Drosophila melanogaster: one gene and its partner. Changing the gene in region 2 together with the main gene of any one other region gives a genetic interaction. Each region holds a gene or a part of one and is shown on either strand. Other genes may lie near its edges.

The links. A genetic interaction does not mean that the proteins touch.
Region 1: of DNaseII (region 2) and eya, changing one suppresses a phenotype caused by changing the other (phenotypic suppression), as found in Drosophila melanogaster (one study listed by BioGRID).

Annotation. Positions count from the first base shown.
Region 1 is NT_033779.5:6,532,074-6,538,663, forward strand, and holds the start of eya (eyes absent), read right to left. Parts: upstream 4,039-6,590; 5' UTR 3,828-4,038; coding exon 3,756-3,827; intron 880-3,755; coding exon 833-879; intron 1-832. UniProt on the Drosophila melanogaster protein: Tyrosine phosphatase thought to play a role in transcription regulation during organogenesis through its intrinsic protein phosphatase activity. The phosphatase activity was shown in vitro. Appears to function together with So and Dac in eye development.
Region 2 is NT_033777.3:18,017,308-18,022,748, forward strand, and holds DNaseII (deoxyribonuclease II), read left to right. Parts: upstream 1-2,067; 5' UTR 2,068-2,105; coding exon 2,106-2,209; intron 2,210-2,768; coding exon 2,769-3,765; 3' UTR 3,766-3,854; downstream 3,855-5,441. Other genes in the region: CG7785 (uncharacterized protein), read left to right, coding at 4,407-4,512, 4,799-5,365, 5,423-5,441.

The DNA.
Region 1 (6,590 bases), on a different chromosome or scaffold from region 2:
CTGGCAGCCACAACAAGAGGGAAAATGGTAAAAGGGGAGCAGCTGGTGAAAGGGGGAAAATCATTTTCCCAGCGCAGAACGACGCGTGCGCCAAATGGAGGGAGGAAACCCAACCCAAACTTTGGCTTTGAGATCTGCTCTCCTCACAATATGGGCTGACCAATGGGAGATTTACGAATATTATAATAGAAATTATCGAAGAGGGAGGTTGAGAGGTCTTTAGCACTAAGCCGCAACTGTTGCCGCCTTTAAGCCTCTTTTAAGTAGTTGGCCCTGCACCGCCTCGTGTCCCTACGATGTCCACCATGCCCCTTGGCAAGTGTTAAGTGCCCTGACACTTTTCGGTTCTTTTTGTTTTTCGGATTTCGGTTTTTGGATTTTGGATTTCGGTCTTGGGTTCGCTTCAGTGTCGCAGCGGAAGCGTGCACCGAATTCCTTGAATTTCTGCCGGGGCATGTGGCAGGTTGTGTGGACCACATGCAAAATGTGCACTTCCCTTCCCTTACGACGATCCGACCATGGCCACTTTTCAATCGAAACCAATTGAAAATGGTGAGCCTCTTGTCAAGTGTTAGGATGTTCTCGCCGTTCTGCTACAAATTGTCTACGCTTACAGAGAGGGAAACCTTTTTCTTCAGGATCCTGGGAAGCAAGTTGGTAAAAGACTCATAATTTAGGTTTCAACCTATAAATATATGCAAACTATTATTTCCCCTATATGTGTTTTAGTTAGAACATATTACACTTTTAAGAAATCTATTTCATAAAAGTACCTAAATTACATGTTTATGAATAAGTATATTTATATATATTTTATTTTATTTGAACCTACCGGTTGCGTTCATGTGTATCCGTGTGGTCTGTCTTGGGACGTTTAACCTGAAAAAAAAGTGAAGAAAATCACATTAAAATATATACTTATACTGAATGTTAATTTTTGTGAATTTTTTGGATTTTCGCCGGCCCTGGAAAGAATTTGTTTATAAACAAGGCGGACGCACTCACACCTCAGCGTCTGGCGTGGAATCGCCCTGCTGAGCTCGGCACTTCCACCGCCTGAAACTCTATTTGGGTTATCCAGTGCGAGTGGCGAAAGAAAACAGCAAATTTTACATAATTCGCAATCGCCATTTGCTGCTGCGCCAAGCGATTTTCGCTGCCCGAGCTTGTGCGTGGGAAAAAGTTTAACTCAACTGTTACTCGGATGTGCGGCGCCATTTGGAGGGGAAGTCGGAAAGGGGGGGGGGGAGGTGGTAGTGCTCGGAAAAGCAGCAGGTGGCAGCGGATTTCGATAAGGATGCAAAATGGCTAGATGGAACAAAGATGACATTTAACTATACAGACTTTCGAGGAAAGATTGTGTCTCTAGGCATACAATAGAACGTCCTTTACATCCACTTACTATGTTTTATATTTATAAAGCTTTGACAATTCAGCTTTTGCCAGAATGATTTTGACAAATGGTCAAAAAAAAACGCCCCTTAAGAAGACATGTATGCAAATCGAACGGAAGCCAGATAAATCGAAGGCGGACTAAGGGGCGCGGCAAGCCCAGGTGCTGGAATTTGTGCGCCTCTCCACCCCTAAAGAAGTCCCTCAAAACAAAAAAAAAAAAAAACAAAAAAAGAAGGGCGGGAAGGGAGCGAAAGCTGAGCGGCTTCGGTTGACAGCTTCTGCCGTCCGGCGAGATGACCACACGCACGCACTGTCCATCATCCGGTGATCTGGTGGGGGGCAGCAGGACGCAGTTTGCTCAGATTTGTCGACGGACCAAGGGAACACGCGCATGCGCAGCGGCGGACAAGCGGACAGATTGCCGAACGGTAGCGTTTCGATGAGCTGCGCATTGGAGTTGCGATCTCGGGTCGCGAATTCTGCAGGATTGCGTGCTGCACGAGCAACCGAATTCGAGTCCGAAGTTGTATGCAAAAGTGAGCTGGTGAGGGGCCAACAAAAAAAAGGGGGGGGGGAAAGGGAAGAGTCAAATGCAACCTTTTACTAAACTAATTTATGGCACAAGCTGACAACGTAAACATTAACACAGACAACACTCGAATCAGTATCTGGGGGGGTTTTGGTTGGGCCGGCTTGGTTGGTTCCAGCTGCGGAAAAGAGTGGGAGATATGTGGTATAAAGACCTGTTTGTGGGCATCTTTAACGAAATTCCTGTGATCGTAATCTCTTTGTCTCTTCTGCTGCTTTAGAAGAAGATTAAAACACACACACTCGGTCACAAAAAGGCAGGCAAACAAAAGACAAGACAAGAAGACGGCGACAAATTTTTTATTAACCCGGCCCTAAGACCCCGAAGACCCCTACAAACCCCTTGAGCCCCCTTGAGTCCCCCTCGAGTCCCCGCGATAAAAATCAAAATAAACAAGAGGAAAATTTGTATCTTCTGGTGGACGAAGTGGAATCGAAGGAAGGGGCTGCTATGGCATGGGACCTATCCCATGCACCTTAACACTTTGGCACGTTAATTACGTTTTGGGCCACGATCGTGGTAGTATAATCAACAATCGCCAAGTGTCAATCGCAGTGGCCATAATCAATATTTCGACTCCTCCACCGCCCCCCCCCCCCCCACACACTCGCACACACGCACACCGATGTGAATTCTCTTTGTCATAAATTACATGCAGCGCGTATTGTCGCAGTTGAATTATGGCGTGTTAATTTTTACGATTACGGCTTAAACTTAATTAAAATGTGATTAATGCCGCTGGACGAATGCCGTAGCCCAGCTCTGGCTTTTGTGGGCCAGGCTCTTTAAATTCCCATAAAGCCGGCACCCAGAGACCCACTAGAGCTGTAATTTATGCTCTATTAATATTTCGCCTTAACCATCCGGCCATCCGGCCACTCCACGTTCGTCACGTTTCCTTCGATCCGACTTTGTCTTAGCCGTAGTTTAGGGACCCATAAAAGCCTGGAGAATGCCGTTCCATTAAATCGTCGGGAAACGAACTTTACGCTAATCTCGGCCAGACTTTGCATCGCAAGCGTGCAGTGAATGAAAAGGCTTTGGTAATTTGATGGGAGAAATGCATCAGCAGCGAATTGGAAAAACGTTTGTCACTATTTCGGCACTTTATTAAGCGTTTTTAATGACCTTTTGGGACTCAACTTGTTTGCTTCATTACCCCACAGCCAAAAGTTAAGCCGATTAATGCGTTGTAATAAAATTTTGGTCAGGTGCCCATAATCTTTATCCCCATTAACGATTTCCCAACAATGAGCAGTCATTAAAGCGCTTTTCTTCGCAGGATGGGTCTATAAAATTGATAATCCTCTGTGAATGAGTAACATTCCATACATTTTCAAGCAACCCAATGAAATTGTATTTCTTCGAGTGTATTTGCACGACTTATTCGCTTAGATTTATGAAATCGAATAGCATCTGAACACGACTTAGTTGTCAAGCTGGACTAGATTTATATATGAAGTGTGCTATGATATCACACCGACCAATAGATCAGCTTAAAGCATCCTAAACTGTTGTTCGTACATATATTAGACTCCATCCAGGCTTGATAAATGAGAGTCGAAGCGTTATCTCGCCATGGAGTTTCACTTTTTGGATACTACTCCCCGACTAGGTGAAGCCCCACAAGGCGCAACCACCAAGGAAGCTACCGCCGTCATCATAGTCATAACACTAGCAATACTAGTAATAGTAATAACCGACGGCACAGCCATCTCAACCACATCACTTTTAAAGCTTCGCGAGGAGAGCACTACGACTATGTGATTACCTTTGGCTCGATCATTTTGTCAATTAATCCGCATCGCGGGGCAGCGTAGTTGTATGGCATTAGGGTGACCATTCTGTGGACTTGCGATTACTTTCACTTGCAACACACACAAAAACACACACGCGTGGCGGGGTAGTGAACTCGACCGTTTCAGGTAGTTAATGTATGGTCGATGTTTTGAAATCGAATATATATTTAGTTATAGCGTTTCAGAACGAACGAAATGTATCTGGTAGGTTTTTTATCTGCGACTTCGGGCGGATCGACCGTTCCCGTAGCGCTCGCTTTGAGTGGCTCGAATCGACTGAACCACCGAAACAGCCGACTTTTGTGGCTCAATGCGACGCCGGCAGCGAAGCGGCAGCGGCGCTGCTTGAGTGGAAATCCCTGGCTCGGATTATTTGGATTCGTATTCGTACCGGCTAAATGTATCTCGGCACTCGAAACGAGTTCGTGTGAGCGGTGCGCACTCGGAGCAGCCTCTCTCGCTCCCTCCGCCGGCCAGAGAATGCGCCTAGACTCCGCCCATTCCCATTCCCCAAATCGAAGGGCCAAGAATATCGCACAGGGGTGGGTCGAAAACCACTTTTCCTCAAAGTTTGTTGTTTCTTTCTCTGTATTATGTTAGTTTTTTTTTTTGGTAAGTATCTCTCGGATGCGGGCGAACAATGCCCATTGTGAATGAGATTTTGCCGCTGGGCGAACGCCAACTGAAAAGTTGGTTTTCCTATGCGCATAAATTAATAAATTAATTCGAAACAACTCCGCCACCATTCGAGCACATAAAACAAATTAATAAGCTAATCAGTTGGAGTTTCTCGGCCTGTTCAATGGTAACCGCCAGCAAATTTAATGGCAATCGTAAAACGCGCAACGCGAATATCGGGTAATTTAAAACGCCTAAAACTTATTGGGTTCGATGGATCCGTAACGCATTAGAGAAGGAGCTCCCAAAAATCGAAATGCTCATGTAAGACGAGCCGAAGTGTGCTGGGCATAATCAAACCGATACGGGACATGGTATATGGAATATGGCAAATGGTATATGGTATATGGGATATCCGATCTGTGGACGGATTAGTGAGTGCCATAAACAAATTGGCATCTAATCAAAATCACAGGGCTATCTCTCCGTCCATGCAGAAGTGAATCACTTCCGATGGTAATTGGGTAGCATAAACATGATGGTTTAGAGCCACTAATGAGCTCGATTAAATGAATTAGAATGCTCAGACAGTATGGCAGCCAATTGATGTTGATTGGGGCAGCTCTGGCAAATTACTGAGCACATAAATTTTAAAGTGTGTTGAAACTTCATCCAAATGAAATTCTAGTAAAAGAGTTAAGCTTTAAGGTAGGCAACTTGTAAAATATCTTTTAAACCTCTCCTGAATATATATTTTACAATTAAACAAACAGTTGTCATAAACCGATAGCGGTTAACATTTTTTATTCTAATAAATATATATTTCATGGCCGTCTCGTATTTATTTATTTATACGTCTCCGTCGAGACGAAACAATTGAATCGTGTGCTAAACAATTCATGTTGATTCAACACTTGATTTTTGGCCCAACAGAGACTGACTTAAAAGCCTGGATGTAATTACAAGTGAGCAAGTGAAACAAGTGCATTTAAGTAAATAGGCGACATGCACACATGCAATAGAATTGCAATGGAATTCCGACAATGAGCCCATTCGATCCCACAACAAATTCAGCCACAAGAAATAACAAAAGTGAAGCTAGAAATTTGATTATGGCATTTTGTTAAGGCTTTCCACAGAGAAAATCGAGCATGACCTCAAAGTGAGGGAGTGCACTTCTTGGTGGATACATTTTGGGTGCAGTGAATCTCCGAGTCGGGCATTAAATTAGCTTTAATCGCTTTAGCACGATCGTGAGACAACATGTCGTCAATTATATCTACGATGATCATGGTGCTCCTCCCTCCACGATAATCCGTCTTCCCTCAGTTTGCCACTCGGAGAGTCTTCTGTAAACAAATCTGCGCACAATTCGCTGCATTTGCAGATATTTCTGCGGCCTGGCTTGTTGCTGAGACTGGCACATTTGTCGTGGACCGGTTGCCGATCGTCGACCATCCACCATCCACCATCCAGCATCCCAGTTTCCCCCTTGAAGCAGCAGATCCCCTCGGAACTGAACGTGCTGATCGTGCGACTGCAAAAGCCTGCTGCACAATGGAGAATCAGGGAGTCGGTGAATCGGAGAATCAGAGAATCGCACGGGGGCAGGGTAGAACTCGAAAGTGTTTAAGATTTACGTTCAGTTTTGATCGGGCTGGACCTCCCCGAGTGTAGTATTAATTTTACACAGCCAAAGGAAGTGGGGGCCACATGGTTTGGGATCGAGAGGCCTGTGTCCGTTCCGCGTTGGGCGCCATTTTAATGCAAAAGTTTTAACACCTGAGTCGAGCACATTTGTTGCCATGTTCGCATTCTTACAACTTGATCTGGGCGACTGTTCGCCGGACATCTAGATAAGGACTTGGATTTGGCTACGCCAGCATTGGGACATTGAATTGCTTGTCCGTTGTCATTTGGTTGGATGCCCAGTGTGGCCTGCCCCTCCACCCCCTTCGCGACGCAGCTCAGGTTCTCCGGTTCAAAAGTCGTCGAGGAATGCGTCATTCGATTGGCGAGCCCACGAATTGGGTCAGTTCTTCCATGCCATGCTGATTAGGGAAGTTTCACATTTGTCAGCACATGCCAAGCGTCTGAGGCATTCATCGTTCTGCCCCTCGAAAAAAATGTTGCTGAGCCATGGAGATCTGACCGCATATATTATAAAATAGAGAACAAAACGATAAAAA
Region 2 (5,441 bases):
TGTTCGTTAAACAAACCCATTATTGTTTCACTCAGTTCCAAATCTCACACAACCAAGCGATAAACCTTTGAAGAAACGAATTTTGAATTAGTGACAATTTTTGCAAGAAAATTAAAACCAACTATACAATTACATATATTAATACCACATATATGCATCGCTCTCCCCATTTCAAGTTTTGAGTCATTTGCGGGAGAGTCAACTAGAATGGCATTGTACTCAACCTGGTAGGTCTGAGAAAATCGCTGTATATTTGTAATACTTAAATACTATGCATATCTATATCTTATACAGACAGACATATGTATAGTATCTTTAGAGGGTTAAGTAGGAAAGGTAACTGATATTGAATATTGAAAATATCAAGGCAGAGAAAGGTATCGAAATACCGGCAGATAAATGAAGATAACACAAGTCAAAACATATCAAACTCGTGCCCGATTAAAACTATATATACACATATATATACACTATATATATATATATATATATATATATATATTAATGAAAAGCAGGCGCAAATTAGGCGCAGCAAATTTCAAAAATAACAAAGAAGGAGAATGATAAAATTATTAAATATGCCGAAAGTCTAACGGGAAATGCAATTTTATTTGCATAACTCAACAGTTGAGTCTACTTTTATCCGTAAATAATACGAAAATAATGATTAATATTAATTGAGATATTAAAAGTAAAAAAAAAAAAATACAAGAAATGGCAAGTATTTGTCTATTTTGAGGCTCATTTATTTAACATTTTCGCGAAACCAAGTACGACCTTCTTTTTTCAAATCGAATAAAGATCTTTGCTAATATTGTAAAAAACAAATTGATTTTTCAAGCAAATGAAAACCAAAACGTATAGCTAAATATTATTATAAAACTTACATAAAACAGAAACAAAACTCGTATATATATATATATAAATATAAATATCAGCCTTGTTCTTTATATATATATTTGAAAAACCAAAAAAATGAAAAACCATACAAAATATTAATAAATTATTAACAACTATGAAAAAATTGATACAAAAAAAAAAAATACATAAAAAATATTTAGCGAAAATATTGTATTGTGAGTTTAAATGTATTGTTGCATACGAAACCAAAGAAATGACATAACAAATCGGTACACCTAAGTTAAATATAAATCTAAATGGCAATACCAACCGATTGGCAAAACAAAAAGAAAAAAAAACATAATATCATCTGATAATATCATATCAGATCGGATCAAAGCAGATCAGAGGAAATTCGAAACAGAATGAAAGGTGAACCATTTTTTCACAGACAGCCACCAGCGATAAGAACTAACGAAGTTGAATTCAATTAATTTACCAGACAGTTTATTTCCAATATAATTCAATATTAGCAGATGGGCTCGCCCGCCCGCAAGACAAATTATACAATTTGATAACGATAATATTTTCATGCGATCACGATCGAGGAGGAAAGCACAAACGATATGCCCTGCAATGCAAACGGGGAAAAGAGCAACAAATTGCAGTTTTCAGCAGGCGACAAATTATAATAATACAATACGAATAATAAATAAAAACTTTAACAATTGTTTTGTGTAATTGTAAAGAAGTGGAGTTCTTTTCACCGCCAGTGGGATGAATGGGATGTTTATGTGATGATGGTGAAATGGGTAAGTATTTATAATATGTTACAGATTGGACAAGATTCTTAGTAGTTTCTTATAATATCCATAAAAATGAAGTCAAACATATTTAGTAGAGTATAATATATTCGTTGTAGCCGCATTTAGTGCGCTTGGCTTATCAGCGACCTCTCTGTTCGACTGATCTTTTGCAATAAGTGGCTGACCCCTCAGATAGCAGACAACGTGGCGATAGGCTGTGTTAAAAACCCAAACACGACCAAATATTTACAAATCCAACTTTTAGATAAAACAGACAAACAGCAAGGATCTCAGTTTTCACTCGATTCAAGCGTTTTTACCTGGTGAAGAAATCGAAAAAGATTAAGATGGATTTCAATTTGCGACTGAGACACCCTGTATGAGCACAGCCGTTGATTGGATTGGATTCACTGACACTTATTTAGTTGTTTTCCGGCCGAGCAACTTGAAGGTTGTACAATGCGATCTCTGTGCTTCGTTTTGCTGTTCGTTTGGTTTTTCTACCAAAACGAAGCTAAGTCTAAGGTTTCCTGTAAGGATGAAGCTGGAAACGATGTAGATTGGTAAGTATTTCGATTAACAGATCAAACAATAAATAGTTTAGTTCTTAAAACATTACTAAATGTGCTTATTAGAAAAGTTACTTATAAATATTGGCCTTTCACATACTTTTTCATTTATCTGCAGTCGCTGTTTGCATATCATTAACAATTTGCAAACACAACGTATTTTAGTTATTTATATACACTGCTGTATTGAGATTATTCTAAAAGAGGCGATAAACAAATTGAATATGATGAGTTCAAGTTCAAGCGGAAAAATTGATAATAATTGTACAATACTGTGTGACAAGAAATTAAAAAGTAATTAGTGTGTTATTTTGTTTCCTAAAATGAGAGATTTAAATCAAAGTTGTTTGCTACAAACAAACTTAATCAATTTGATAACAATAACATCATTTTTAATACTTTTCCATTTCCAAAAATAGATTAAATGGTAATTATTTTTTTTTTTTAATATCTTAAAAACAAATTTCCAAAGATTGAGGGGTTTTCTCGATGAGATAAACATGTTTTTAATTTATTTAATAATTTTTTTTCAAATATTCCTTTATAATTTTAGGTGGCACCTTTACAAACTGCCCAAGCACTACCAGCACAACGATTTGGGCAAGGACACCAGTGGCTTGAAGTACCTGTACGTGACCAGCCAGAACTATGACACCTGGCAGATGTCGGGAAAGTTCATTAGTGATCCCCTATCGCTGCCTGCCCAGACCCTTAACCCCTTGAACGACGATCCCAGCCACACTCTGCTGGCCGCCTACAACGATCAACAGCCGAATGGCACGGTTTTCAGCAGCGGTGGTCATGCCAAAGGAGTGGTGGCCAGTGATGGGGAGACGGCTATTTGGATTGTCCACTCGGTGCCCAAATTTCCAACAATTCCGGACTACAGCTATCCCACATCCGGCGAGCAGTACGCACAGAGCATGCTCTGCGTCACACTGAAGGGCGAGGATTTGGAGAAGGTTGGTCAGATTCTGGTGTACAATGAACCGCACTTCTACTATCAACGCAACCCGCTGGCCACTCGCTCCGATGAGCTGTTCCCGAGCCTGGAAAGGGCTCTGCATGGTCAGTGGCGGACGGAATCACCGTTCCAGAAGGACTTGGAGGTGCGCAGCTTGGACGGCAAGAAGTTCCGGCTGTTTGGCAAGAGTGGACGCGCCAATGTGGAGCTGTACGCCGATGTGGTCGCACCCACTCTGGATGTCAGTCTTTTTGTGGAGGCGTGGCGCGACGGTGCCGGCAACTTACCGAATAGCTGCGATAAGTCCGATAAGGTTCTCAATGTGGAATCCATTTCCAATCCGGAGCTATCGGTGGACTTTAAGACCACACAAGATCACTCCAAGTGGGCGGTATCTCGTCCCACAGGCATTTTGATCTACCATTGGCGAGTTGGCGGCGGAGATTGGATTTGTGTGGGCGACATCAACCGGCAAGAAGGTCAGTTGCATCGTGGTGGTGGAACCGTGTGCCACAAGAGCGCCAGGGTATCCAATCTGTACCGCCAACTGGTCACCAACTACGACAAGTGCGCCCAACAGGAATAGAATCTGAACTAACTAAGACTATTTGTAAAGTTGCGTCAACAATTAAATAAACACCATTTTTGCATTACATTTAATGCATAAGAAAATTGAAAGATGTTGAAAAGAGGTATTATTTATACAAAGAACTTATTTGCATTTGTTATAGATAATATATAATAATTTAAATTTTAAATTTAAGGCGCCGTGCAACTTCTTTTCTTTTTCTTTCTGCTCTTTTCCGGACACTCGCTAGCGCCATTTCTTCAACGCACTCTTGTCGTACATTTTAGGTACTAAAAAGCGCATTGAAAACTAGGTGGCGCTCGTACTTAAACTTTTCTTAATTCTATAGCTGTTGCTAAACTATTTGCCAAAAAAAAAAAACATTGAAATATCAACAAACATGTATAAATTATTTACAAATGTGTCAATTGCATTTGGTTGCATCTAATTATTCATTTATAGCGCCACCTATCCGTCACTCTTCTACCCATTATTATCACATATACCAGAAAATGCAAATTCAGTATGACCATCAGCTGGAAAAAGAGCACAGCTGTTTACAAAAACAAAACCAAGCGAAGAAGCGAAAATTATTGGCGATTTTTAAAAATCCAAATTAAAACTAGATTCGGAGTCGGAAAACCTTCATAGATTTGGGAATGTTCTGCTGCCTACGCACCTGTCTCAATGGTGGACACATAAGGAAACCGACGGCAACCAGTCGCCTGCGGGAGCCCGATGTTCACCTGGATGCAGCGCATATGGGTAAAATTACACTAAATTCAGAAGGATTAAGATACACTATCCTTAAAATGGTCAACTGAAGCGATTGCGAGAGAACTAATGTGTTTTTCCAAAAGATATGTAGCTTCGATAATAAGTGATACCCCAATAAAGATATCAACATTCCCAATTTTATCGCACAATTCAGATACGTGATCAGATATTAATATATATGTACATACAATAGAAGTGCTTATATTCTCATTCAACAGGCTTAACCATCTTGTATCTTACTAATAATATGTATATCATATCATCCATTTGGCAGGACCTGATGTAATCCTGCTGTCACACCAACTGCGCGTAACGGGCACTGGCGGCGTCCTGGCCACGGCGCCTTTGGTCCAATCGAAGTCCTACTTCGAGGTGAAGATCCAGCACGGCGGCAGCTGGTCGGTGGGCTTGGCAACGCGTCAAACGGATCTCAGTCGCAAGAGCGGCGGCGGGGATCGAGAGTCCTGGTGCCTGTGCTCCGATAATGCCACACGCCACAATGACCGCGAGGAGTTCCGACCAGTGGTGCAGTCTGCTTGCACCACTCAGCCAGCGAGGACGAGCAATGGTATCCTGAACAATAGCGCTGCCAAAGCGGCCGGACTCATTGCCATCGAGGATTTGCAGCAGGAAGATCTGCTGATGACCACTGGAGTGGCATCATCCGATGTGGATATCGGTGATTCGTTGATAGCATCGCCACAGCGAGATTTTCCCGATGAAGGAGACATTGTGGGCGTCGCCTTTGACCACGTGGAGCTGAATTTCTACTTCAATGGAAAGAATCTGGAGGTTCCATTTCGAAATGTACGAGGAGCAGCACTATTTCCCGTCATTTATGGTGAGTTTTCGTACTCTTAAGAGAAGCTTATCACCATAATTAACCTAATTTTTTTAGTGGGCAATGGCGCCATTCT